Oryctolagus cuniculus: one gene and its partners. The protein of the gene in region 1 interacts with the protein of each later gene in a pairwise test. Links are inferred from orthologs where the notes say so. Each region holds a gene or a part of one and is shown in the gene's direction. Other genes may lie near its edges.

Region 1 (4,093 bases):
TTTTATTTCAGTCAAAAGGCTGAGAGACACAGAGAAATAGAGAGACAGAAAGACAAAGATCTACCTGCTGGTTCATTCCTTAAATGCCTGCAACAGCTAGGGCTGGGCTAAGCCAAAGCCAGGAGCCCAGAAACCAATGTGGGTTTCCCACATGGATAGCAGAGACCCCAGTATGTGAGTCATTTGCTGCCTCTCCGGTACACATTATCAGGAAGCTGGATAGGAAGCAGCGAAGCTAGAACTGGAACCAGGCACTCTGATACAGGATATAGGTGACCCAAGCTGCGACTTAACCACTCCACCTAATGCCAGACCCTCCCACTGACTTTTTGAAAAGCCCGAGGCAATCATCATTAACAATATCCCTCACTATGGGTTCATCTGGTTCTTTCCTTGTGTCATTTCACTTGCTCCTCTTGCCTCTGTGTTGCTGGTAAACTGGAAGTTAGGTTTAAAGCCTTGATAGCTTCGGCTCATTTTGCAGGTAATGCCATAGCCTTTGGATATTAAGCTTGATGACACATGAAAGGGTGCCGACAACTAAATTTGTTCTCTCTTCAGCAACTAGCAAGTGCTTTGTGGGCTCAGATTTTGACAACTTAGAAATATCTTTTTTTTTTTTTTTTTGGACAGGCAGAGTGGACAGTGAGAGAGAGAGACAGAGAGAAAGGTCTTCCTTTGCAGTTGGTTCACCCTCCAATGGCCGCCGCGGCCAGTGCGCTTGGCCGGCGCACTGTGCTGATCCGAAGGCAGGAGCCAGGTTGCTTCTCCTGGTCTCTCATGGGGTGCAGGGACTAAGTACTTGGGCCATCCTCCACTGCCCTCCCGGGCCACAGCAGAGAGCTGGCCTGGAAGAGGGGCAACCGGATTCAACAGATTCAACAGAATCCGTTGCCCCGACCAGGACTAGAATTCCGTGTGCCGGCGCCGCAGGCGGAGGATTAGCCCATTGAGCCGTGGTGTTGGCCTAGAAATATCTTGTTCCCCATTAACCTCTCATATAATTTTCTGGCAAATATTAAAGATTCTCACAAGAATCAGTTATCACTTCTGGTGGCAAAATGGTAATTTTCTAATACTTTCAAGTCTTCTATATTTATTATTGGATGTTCTATAAAAAATTTCTCCCACTATTGTTTCTCCTAAAAAGTGATGGCAAATATAGTTTCCCCTTTTAATTACTAATTCTCAGAGTAAGGAGACAAAGGAGCAGTATCACTGTCACCTGTGAAGGAGACCCCTTCGTTTTTGTTTCCCATTTTTGGAGTATCATGGATTCATGGATTTTTTTTTTTTTTTTTTTTTGACAGGCAGAGTGGACAGTGAGAGAGAGAGACAGAGAGAAAGGTCTTCCTTTGCCGTTGGTTCACCCTCCAATGGCCGCCGCGGCCAGTGCGCTTGGCCGGCACACCGCACTGATCCGATGGCAGGAGCCAGGTGCTTCTAATGGTCTCCCATGGGGTGCAGGGCCCAATACTTGGGCCATCCTCCACCGCACTCCCTGGCCATAGCAGAGAGCTGGCCTGGAAGAGGGGCAACCGGGACAGAATCTGGCGCCCCGACCGGGACTAGAACCCGGTGTGCTGGCGCCGCAAGGCGGAGGATTAGCCTGTTGAGCCGCAGCGCCAGCGGATTCATGGATTTTATGTATTCAATGTGTTATAGTAATTACAGCTGCTGTTCTCTTTTTGATAACAAATTGTTTCTTATTTGCTCAAGGAAAGCTGTTTCAACCCAGTTCCTGTGTTTATTTTTAAATGTTTATTTTTAAATAAATGTTATTGTCTCATGTTATTTATTTGAAAGAGTGACAAGGTTGGGGGGTGGGTAGAAAGAGATCCTATCCACTGGTTCATTCCCCAAATGCTTGCAATAGCTAGGGTTGGGCCAGGAACTCCATCAGTTTGCCCACATGAGTGGCAGGGGCCCAACTACTCAAGCTATCATCTACTGCCTCCCAGGTGTATTAGCAGCAGGCATGCTTGGTTGAAACGCAGAGATGGGACTCGATCTCAGGGACTCCGATATGGGATATGGTCCCCAAGAAGTGACTTAACCCTCTGTGCCACAAGGCCTACCCCTAGTTCCTGTCTTTTTGATGGTCATCATTTGTCTTTGCTTTTGGCACAGTAGATGCCCACAGTTCACCTTTTATTTCTTCTACTCCAGTTGTTTCTCAAAGAAGCTCTGTGAACACCCTCTTCTTCAGATATTAGGCAGTTCAAACGTTCCTCCACATGAGAGCTGTTGACTAAGACTATATTCCTAATACCGGTGGTAGACAATAGGTGGCCTCTGGGCTGCCACCTGTGCTCAGGTTGAGAATGAAAATTTCACAGTTATCTTGGTACACACTGGAGGAAAGGAGAAATCCCTTTCCCCTTAGTTCAGTAGCTGAGGTACATGGATTAAAGCTGGCAAAAGATAGTTAATCAGCAGAAGAAAAACTTTATTACACATGCACATGAGAACTTGACAGAAGTGAAAAACCAACAGGCAGTGAGTCCTGGGCTTTACAAAGTCTGTGTTGTGGCATAGTGGGTTAAGCCACAGCTTGCAAAGCTGGGTTCAAGCACTGGTTGCTCTGCTTCTAATCTGGCTTCCTGCTAATGTGCCTGGGAAGGCAGAGGATGATGGCCTAAGAACATGGGCTCCTGCCATCTATCTCGGAGACCAGGGCCAAGAGCCTGCTCTCTGTGTCTTACCTTCTCTCTGTAACTGCTTTTCAAACAAACAAACATTTTTTTTTTAATCAAAAATAATAGAGGTTTGGGTTTCCAGGGGAAGGTGACTAGGAATTGTGTGGTAAATAAGGTTTGTTTATTAAGGTTTGTTACGCAGTAAGAGTTCTCTTTTCTGATATGGTAGAGAAGCACATCTTTAAAAATGGAAACATGTCACCTTTACAAAAGGAAATTTATGCCTTGCTTTTAGGCAGAAAGGCGGGGGGGGGGGGGTGTTTCTGTGTGATAGGTTCCTCAACTGCCTTCAGCTCAAAATAATCCTAATGCCAAAATGGCATGCTTTGGAAGGCATTCTCTGTTTCTCTTCAATCCTTTTTCTTTTTTTTTTTTTTTAATTTTATTTATTTGTTTGAGAGGTAGTGTTACAGAGAGAGGGAGAGACAGAAGGGTCTTCCATCCACTGACTCACTCCCCACATGGCTGCAATGGCTGGAGCTGGGCCAATCCAAAGCCAGGAGCCTGGAGCTTCTTCTGGGTCTCCCAGATGGGTGCAGAGGCCTGAGCACTTGGGCCATCTTCCATTGCTTTCCCAGGCCATTAATAGAGAGCTGGATTGAAAGGGGGACAGCTGGGACACAAACAGGTGCCCACTTGGGATGCTGGCCCTGCAGGTGGAAGCTTAGCCTACTATTCCATAGCTCCTGTCCCTGTTTCTCTTCAGTATCTATGTGGATTACTTTTCCAGGTTTTAAAAAATCACTTGTTGCATTTACACATGCTGTTTTCCCTCCACAATTAGGTGATCAGCTCCTTAACAAACACATCTATCTTACCCACACCCTCCTAGCATAGAGCTCAGGCACTGAATAAATATATGGAAACCCACTGTACTTCTCTACCAGATCATAAATGCAACAGCTTTGGAAAGGAAATGCTCAACTTGTTAGGGTAATGTTAGAGTACCTAGATTTAAAACTTTTGAAACCTATACAGTACCTTTAAGGCAGACGCTGGATACTACCACCTCCTACTGCCCCAAGTCTCTGGGTTTCTCTCCCTTAGCTTGACTTTCCCTGCACTGCTTTTGCTTGCAAATCAACCCCTTGCTAAAATTAACTGACTCAAAAGAGGGAGTGGTGCAGCCAGCCCTAAAGGGTCTCTGGTCACAAGACTCCTGAGCTCATTTATCTCTTCTATAGATGGAGTGTTTCAATGTTCAGTATTGCCTGGGGTTGTTTTTCCAAGTAGCCCAGGCCCTGAGCAAGAATTATCTATCACCTGACTGACTGGAGGCCACTTGGCCATCATCAAAATTCCCAAAAGAACACAGTATCAGCAGGGCAGATCAACGACACTGGCACAAGAGCTGGACACGCACCCCTCAACCCCAGCTTTGGTCTGTAAGATCC
Region 2 (4,140 bases), on another chromosome or scaffold:
GGGCTCTGGCTTGGGCCATCCCGGGCGCCAGCGCGGAGCGCGGGGCAGCTAAAGCTTCGGGTTTGAAGCCAGAGCAGCCTGGTAGCGGCGGTGAAAGGGAAGAAGGCGAGAGGGAGTGCTCATGAGACTGGGAGGCGATGGGACCGTTTGGGTGGTAGGGGGCAGCCGAGCGGTCTTCCAAAGTCACGTCGGATGTACTTTCAGAGCCGAGGTGGCTTTAGGGCGAGACGTGGGCTTCCTCGATCCGAGAGCCAGCAGCTCCAGCCAGCACAGCCCAGTAACGGAGGGGACGTGGCGGAAGGACTTGGTAGGGGCGCAGTCGCCTCAGGCCGGGGCTTTTGCGGCCCTCGCCGAGGGCGACGCGTGAAGTAACAGAAGTCGCGGTGCGTGCGCGCCGCACTGGCCGCCGGTCAGGGCGTCCGGGGTCTTGTCCGGGAGGACGGAGGACCCCAGCGCCTGAAGACGTTAGCTCCGACCTGCACAGCTGCTGCGATCCGCCTGTTCCTGCGATTCCATCCAGCATTCCCTATGGAAAGACTGATTTGGTTTGAGCGGGATTCCGGGGGGGGGAAGCGGTCACAAAAGTGGGCAGGCGGTAGACGTCATTTCTAGCCTTTGTCTCCCAGAGTTGCATCTCGTGGAAGCTGGCGGTGATTCTCACTCAGCTGTGGTAATGATGGCCCGTTCGCGGCTAGCTCTAGAGCCCTGACTCGAGGAGTAATGGCGTTGTCGTGCGGGTTTTGTGCGCAGATGGATGTCCACGGCAGGATACGGGAAATCCTCGCCGAGACCATACGCGAGGAGTTAGCGCCCGACCAGCAACAGTTATCAACGGAAGATTTGATCAAAGCCCTTCGACGGCGAGGAATCATTGATGATGTGATGAAAGAACTGAATTTTGTTACGGTGAGTACTCTGGGGTCTGTAAAGAACATGCCTGGGCGTAGTTACACTGTTGACAGGGTCCTTGGTGGGAGTTTCTCCTTTGAGCGAAACCACTGGAAGGCCCTCCTGTCTACCAGTGTCCTTATTTGCCTTGTAAGTTAGCTCTACCCTTGGGTAGCACACAAATAGTGTGAGTCAGCGAGATTTGGGTTATGTAGACTGTCTTCCTCACTCTGCAGTGACAAGGATTCTCTCTTGTAATTCTCTAGGTCTTTTAATTATGAATATACATATTTCAGTCACATTAGTTCACCATAAAACTGTTCTTTTTTCACTAAGATTGCCCTACAGTTGCTTTAGGTTAAGCTTATTTTTAAAATAAACACTCTTTGGGACTCCGATGAACAAATTATAAATGTCCTCAAGAAAATAATTGACTGCACAAAGACTCTCCAGTCTTTACCTACAAATAGGTCAGTAGTGAGATGCTGGCCTCTCAAGGCACCATTAGGAAGTAGGCCCTCTTTTGAAAATGAGGCAATAATGAAAAACTGTGACCTCAATACCTGGATAATATGTGAAAATTGGACAGACTTCATAATACATCAGGGAATAAGTATTTTAATACAGCATCCTTTTTTGGTTTTTGAGGTTTATGAACCCATTTGTTATAAAAATTGGCCTAATAACAGCTTTTGCTGTGTGAATGTCACTTCTTTATTAAAATCAGTAACTGTTGGAATTGTAAGCCAAGTGTTACATCAGGTATAGGGAAAGTTCAAGCTTGTTTAAGGTTTTCAGAATTGCTTTTTACATTCTGTGGATGGCATTCCTTGAAGATAATTTTTACACCTTAGTATTAGACATGAATAGTGACCAGTTGCATTATCTTTCATTTTCAGTATTTTGATTACACTATGAAAAGGGCTTTTTTGGGGGGTGGGAAGAGGGCCCTTATCCTGTCACCTTTCTGTTTGCTGTTTAGTGTCATGATTGGCATTTTCTTAATTTTTTTTTTTTCAATTTTTTTTTTTGGCCTTTCCAGGACAATGTTGATCAAGAACTCCCTTCCTCTCCAAAACAACCTGTTAGTTTTGATAGACAGTCAACATTAAAAAAAAGTATGTATCTGTTTTTTAATAATAATTCTGTTGTATAATGAATATTGATGTGCTGTAGTGTTTGGTATTTGATAGAAAACATTTCTGGTTTTTTCCCCAAATATTTAAATTTTTGTGGTTGGCCTAAAACTTAATTTTGTTTCACATGAAGTATATCAGAAAATTTAATGTGCAGTATAGTAGAAGCAAAAGCCAGCACACTGGTTTCTCATATTTTAATAATATACTTTATTTAAGATTGTACAGCCTTGTTATTTTAATGATAATTACCTTACAAATACATTTGCTTAATTTGTAGTTGCCTGAGCTGGTTTATGGAGGTGAAGGGAGATTTAATAAGCAGCTAATAAAAAGCAAACTATAGTAGACTTTGGGCCACTCTAGCTGGGAGAAAGTGGACAGAATGTAAACTCCGAAAAGAATGTCAGATTATGTATCTTTTCTCCCCAGGGTGCAAATGATTCTGGTATATAGTAAATTTGTTACTCTTTTTCTTCTTTTTTTAGTCTTTGATGTTATTTCTTTCAAGTTGTTGTATCCTAATGTCTTGATCACATTCCTTAAATTATTTGGCAGTTTCCTCATGTATATTGCTACACTTTACAGCTAATATTGATCCAACACGGAGGTATCTTTACCTTCAGGTTTTGGGTGGAAAAGCTTTCTTGGAACATCTTCAAGAACCTGAGCCTTTACCAGGACAAGTTTGTTCAACTTTTACTTTATGCTTACATTATCGAAACCAACGTTTTCGTTCTAAACCTGTTCCATGTGCCTGTGAACCTGATTTTCATGATGGCTTTTTACTTGAAGTACACAGAGAAAACTTAGGTAAGGAACGTAATAGTCACTTAATGGAGTGAGCTTTTATTAGGTTTTGTTGCAGAGTTGCTGTAACAACTTCTGCTGTTGGGAGATTTACAGATTGAGTCATTTGGCCTAGTCTTTTTATTTTTCCGCCACTCTTATTTTAACGACTTCTGTGCACCTTCTGCTTTATTCTGTGTTTGCTAATTAATTATCCCTAAACGATTATTACTTTACTCTTAATTTTGGTTCTTTACTAATAATCCTGTGAGATGCCTGTCATGTGCATGGTACTATGCTAGCAGGTGCTGAGGACATGAGAGAATGAGACATGATCCTTCTTGTATATGAAGGATGACTAGATTTGTGATGTTGTTATATTTCAAAGGTTTTTGTTTGTTTTATTTTGTTTTAAATTTTACTGGAGAGTTAGAAAGAAAGCCATAATAGTAAAGAGCTCCCATCTGCTAGCGGGTTTACTTCCCAAATACCTGAAATGGAGCGGGGGCGTTGATGTGGCTACAGCCAAGAGCTGGGAACCCATCTAACATGAGTGGCAGGAACCCAACTTTTCCTTTCTTTCTTTTTTTAAATTTATTTATTTACTTGAAAGTCAGAGTTACACAGAGAGAGGAGAGGCAGAGAGAGAAAGAGAGAGAGAGAGGTCTTCCATTTGCTGGTTCACTGCCCAGTTGGCCACAAAGGCTGGAGTTGTTCCAATCTGAAGCCAGGAGCCAGGAGCTTCCTCCAGGTCTCCCACGCGGGCACAGGGGCCCAAAGACTTGGGCCATCTTCTACTGCTTTCCCAGGCCATAGCAGAGAGCTGGATCGGAAGTGGAGCAGCCGGGACTCAAACTGGTGCCCTTAGGGGACGCTGGCACTGCAGCTTGGCCTGGACCAGCCCTGGCTATTGCAGGCATTTGGGGCAGGAAACCAGAGGATGGAAGATTCTCTCCCCTTCTCCCTTTCTTTCTCTTTCTCTCTCTCTTTAAAAGTACTTATTTAAAATATATGTTACTACAAAAAAAAGCCATCAAATATGTTAAGATTAATTCTTAAACTGTCCTTATTCATTTATCTTTAGAAATTATCACTGTATTATCAACACAAAACTGAAAGATTTAAGCTCACAGTTTAGCAATTCACCCCATAAATTACCTTTTTTAAAAAATACCTTGTTAGAAACACAGTGTAAAACAATTACAAGAATCATATATTATAATTCTTTTTTATTTGAAAGGCAGAGAGAGAGAAAGAGAAAGAAAGGGAGAGGGGGAGAGAATCTTCCATCCTCTGGTTTCCTGCCCCAAATGCCTGCAATAGCCAG
Region 3 (4,002 bases), on another chromosome or scaffold:
AGCCTTCGACAGAGCCTTCATAAAACCATGGCTCTACCCTCCTCTATACCTTCTCCCAGATCAAAGGTCCCTGGCAAGAAGACAATGCTACTAGTTTGCACTTCCGTTAAACTCTGAGAAAACATTTATGGGCTGCAGTCCACCTGATTCAAGGTAGCTTTCCAGTTCTTAGGTGGAACAGTAGCCATGTTTCTGCAACTGCTCTCTCCCACTTCAACCTTAATTTCCTTACAGAGATCTTTGGCAGGCAAAGGGGGGGGGGGGGTGTTATCCAAAAAAGATCCCTCCTTAAGATCGGACTTTGCATTAGCACACACATTTCACCTACTGGTTTCTCCACCCTGACCCAGTCAGTGTCCAGTCTAGGGCATTTAAACGATAGGTTCTGACCTGCACAAGAGCCATTGTTGAGTGACCCTCCTGGCCACTTCCAGGCATTCTTTTCCCTCCACCTGTATCTAAGCTGCACCCGAAATCAAAGCTGAGCCTGAAATACTCTGAGCTAGCGAGGGGGCTGTATTTCTTAGCCCTAATAACCACTTAAACTAGTAAAACTTGATTTCCCCAAGGAATCCAGCCTGAAGCAAACCCTCCCCAAGGGCTCCACTGAGGGGGCAGCTGCTGAAACGTTTCGGATGACTCAGACACCTGTTTCCAAATAGTATCTAAGTGGCTTCGCCCCCTTCCCTGAGCTCCGGCTGCAGGCACTGCAGGCACTCGAAGACCCTGGGCACATCTGGACCTCCCCCGCTCAAAGAAACTCGACTCTCGGGCCCCACCAGCAGCCTGGGCGAGAGGAAGGGAGGAGAGAAAGCAGTCGGGCTGAGGCTCGGGGCCGGCAGGCTGCTGCGGGCCAGGCCTGGGTCGGCACCGCCGGCTCGGAGCTGGGGTTCCTTCTCCGACCTTGAAAGGGGCGACGCGGACCGGAACCCGCAGCAGACGCGGCGGCTGGGAGCCCGCGCAGGCTGAGGGGCAGCGGTGCGGCCTCGCCGGACCGCCTCACCTGCACTTCTGTCGGCCCACAGGATTACTGACAGCACCAGCGCAAGGACTGATCCAGGCGAGACCATGTTTGCGACGAACCGCCGCCAACACGCGGGACTCAGAAAGGGCGCCCAAGCTGGGGGAGGAGCCACGTGGGCAGAGGGCGTGGCCCGGGCGGGGCGCGGCCTGCCGACTCCACCCCTCCCAGGACCGTCCCTCTGGCGGCGGCGAAAAGCCTGCCGCTTCCCGTCCCGGCCGCCGTAGTTTTTTTTTTTTTTTCCCTTTTAAAAAAAAAACGGTTACCCAGCAACGAGAAAAAACAACCGGAATCCTGGGTATCAGCTCGGAGAGAAAGAAGAGGTGAGGCGGTTTCCCCCACTTCCTCTGCAGTGCCGAGGCCTCGCCTTTTCCCTTCGTCTGCCGTATTCTTCCACTATCCCCGATTCGTCCCGGAAACCCTGGAGCAAACAGCTTGGGAGCGAAGGCAGCCTGTTCTGCGAGGGTCTGAAATCCAGGGCCTCAAGACCCTGCCCCAACGGCTGTCCGGCGGGCCTCCCACTCCCCAGCGCTTCCTCGGGGTCTCACCCGGCCTTGTACAGCCCCAGAAAGATTCCGCACTTCTGTTGCGTTTAAAAAAAAAAGAAAAGACAAGAAAAAGAGAAAGCCCTCCGCGGGTGGGCCTCGTTAAATCGTCCAGTTTCCCAGTCTCAGCCCCTCGCCACGGGCCCGCCGTTTTCCGGCCTTGACACACCCGGCAGGTCCCGCGTGCGCCCCTCATACCGGTGGCCTACCCCACTGCTTGGCACCTGCCCCTAGTGTAGCCCTTGAATTGCAACACGGGTCACGACAAAACTAGGAAAACAATCTCAGAGGTTTAGGGACTGGGGTTTGAAAATCATGACCTACCATCTCATTCCCCTCCCCACCCCGGCTTCCTCATTCCAGAGTTCAAAGGTAAAGGTACTCGGAGGCCGTGTGGATCAGGCTTTAGATGAGTCAGCGGAGGGAAAGTTGAAGTGTGAGGCTTCCAGTTAGACAAGTTAGAATTAAATAGAATCAGGACTCGTTCCTAATTTATTTTTTTTATTATTTTTTTTATTTGATGGGTGGAGTTACAGACAGCGAGAGAGACAGAGAGAGAGGTCTTCCAACCACTGGTTCACTCCCCAGTTGGCCGCAACGGCCAGAGCTGTGCTGATCTGGAGCCAGGACCCAGGAGCTTCTTCCCCGTCTCCCATGCGGGTGCAGGGCCCCAAGCACTTGGGCCATCCTCCAGTGCTATCCCAGGCCATAGCAGAGAACTGGATTGGAAGTGGAGCAGCCAGGACTAGAACCGGCACCCATACGGGATGCCAGCACTGCTGGTGGAGGATTAACCTAGTGCACCACAGTTTTTTTTTAAGAGCCTAAACTGGGTCTTCTTAGCAACTGATAATGAGTTCAACATTCATTTAACAATGGTTCTCTCTAAATGGCTGTGGAATAGCATAAATTACCGTTTTAAGAAGAGAAAGAGAGGGCCTGTGCTGTGGCACTGTAGGTTAATCCCCGCCTAAGGTGCTGGCATCCCAATATGGGCGCCAGTTCTAGTCCTGGCTGCTCCTCCTCCAATCCAGCTCTCTGCTATGGCCTGGGAAAGCAGTGGAGGATGACCCAAGTGCTTGGGCCCCGCACCCCTCATGGGGGACCCGGAAGAGGCTCCTGGCTTCAGATCCAGCTCTGGCCTTGGGGGAATGAGCCAGCAGATGGAAGACTTTCTCTCTGTCTCTGACTCTCTTTGTAACTCTGCCTCTTAAAAGAAATAAAATCTTAAAAAAAAAAAAGAAGAAGAAGAAGAACAGAAAAAGAGGGATAGTGCGGTGACTGTTCCTCGCCACGACTGGAGAATTAGGCAGGCTACCCGCAGCTTGCCTTGACCGAGGAGGGGAAGTGCGCCACCCGCCACTCAGCCTTCCCCAAACCCGGGGGACAATCAGGCACGGTGTGGAGCCCAGTCGAAGCAGGGTCTCACTTTATTGTAAAAGGGAGGTGTATTTAATAGCTGAGGTACAGAGCGGATGGCACAGAGTAGATGAGTGGATATGGGCAAGGGGTGGGGTGATGTGATGCAAAAGAGTCTTAGCCACTCCTATTATACCACCTTAATGATCCTTAGGCAAAAGCGCCCTGGGGCTAGGGTGTTTGCCACCAGGGATTTGAAACTTAAAGACAGGATTTCAAATTCGAGGCAGGCTCAGGAAGTTTCCTCTAGGCCTCCCCCACAGGATAGAAAACATGCTTAGTGTCACAGTGAAAATCTGTATTTTTCAAAATAATTTGGCTAATTGGGTTTGTAATATTCTAAATCATAATACAGAACAGAGGGTTCTTTGTAAGAGATGGATGACTTGGGTTGTGTTGGGATAAAAGAACGGAAGTCCAGAAATTCTGGGTTTCAGAAATCATTGTCATGGTTGTGATTACATAGTTAAAATCAGACACATTGAAAGTGCTCTCTAATCTCTAGGTACCACATAGGCAAGTTCTTGCCAAGGAGATGTCGATTCCATTTTCCAACACCCACTATCGAATTCCACAAGGATTTGGGAATCTTCTTGAAGGGCTGACACGTGAGATTCTGAGGGAGCAACCGGACAACATTCCAGCTTTTGCAGCAGCATATTTTGAGAACCTTCTAGAGAAAAGAGAGAGTAAGCTATTATCCAATAGGCATTTTTACACTTGAATTTAGCCAAAAGGCCGAGAAGCAATCAATAGGCATTTTTAAATAAGAGACTCAGCATTTGGTTATGGTAAAATTTGCTTAATGTCATCTCCATTCTACAGAGAGCTATTAGGAGGCAGGTAGCTTCAAATAATTTGAAGCTTGCTCTTTGAACTAATTGTGTGCCCCTTGAATGAGTTCCATGTAATTTGAACGTCATCAGTTTACTGCCAAGACCTTCACTGTATGTCTTGTGGACTCACAGGGTGGAAGGGAACCACAAAAGATCATAGCATCTTGCTCTCTGCTTTGCA

What was found.
Region 2: the proteins of AKAP7 (region 1) and CEP76 interact in a two-hybrid assay, tested with the Homo sapiens proteins (3 studies listed by BioGRID). The two-hybrid records come from large-scale screens. The link is inferred for Oryctolagus cuniculus from reciprocal best matches to the Homo sapiens genes AKAP7 and CEP76.
Region 3: the proteins of AKAP7 (region 1) and SPA17 interact in a two-hybrid assay, tested with the Homo sapiens proteins (3 studies listed by BioGRID and IntAct). The two-hybrid records come from large-scale screens. The link is inferred for Oryctolagus cuniculus from reciprocal best matches to the Homo sapiens genes AKAP7 and SPA17.

Annotation. Positions count from the first base shown.
Region 1 is NC_091436.1:37,950,845-37,954,937, reverse strand, and holds the start of AKAP7 (A-kinase anchoring protein 7), read left to right. Parts: upstream 1-1,293; 5' UTR 1,294-4,093. UniProt on the Homo sapiens protein: Probably targets cAMP-dependent protein kinase (PKA) to the cellular membrane or cytoskeletal structures.
Region 2 is NC_091441.1:69,558,229-69,562,368, reverse strand, and holds the start of CEP76 (centrosomal protein of 76 kDa), read left to right. Parts: upstream 1-1,340; 5' UTR 1,341-1,428; coding exon 1,429-1,650; intron 1,651-1,930; coding exon 1,931-2,006; intron 2,007-2,582; coding exon 2,583-2,837; intron 2,838-4,140. UniProt on the Homo sapiens protein: Centrosomal protein involved in regulation of centriole duplication. Required to limit centriole duplication to once per cell cycle by preventing centriole reduplication.
Region 3 is NC_091432.1:117,919,450-117,923,451, forward strand, and holds the start of SPA17 (sperm surface protein Sp17), read left to right. Parts: upstream 1-1,202; 5' UTR 1,203-1,331; intron 1,332-3,488; 5' UTR 3,489-3,520; coding exon 3,521-3,674; intron 3,675-4,002. Other genes in the region: SIAE (sialate O-acetylesterase), read right to left, coding at 1,004-1,070. UniProt on the Homo sapiens protein: Sperm surface zona pellucida binding protein. Helps to bind spermatozoa to the zona pellucida with high affinity. Might function in binding zona pellucida and carbohydrates.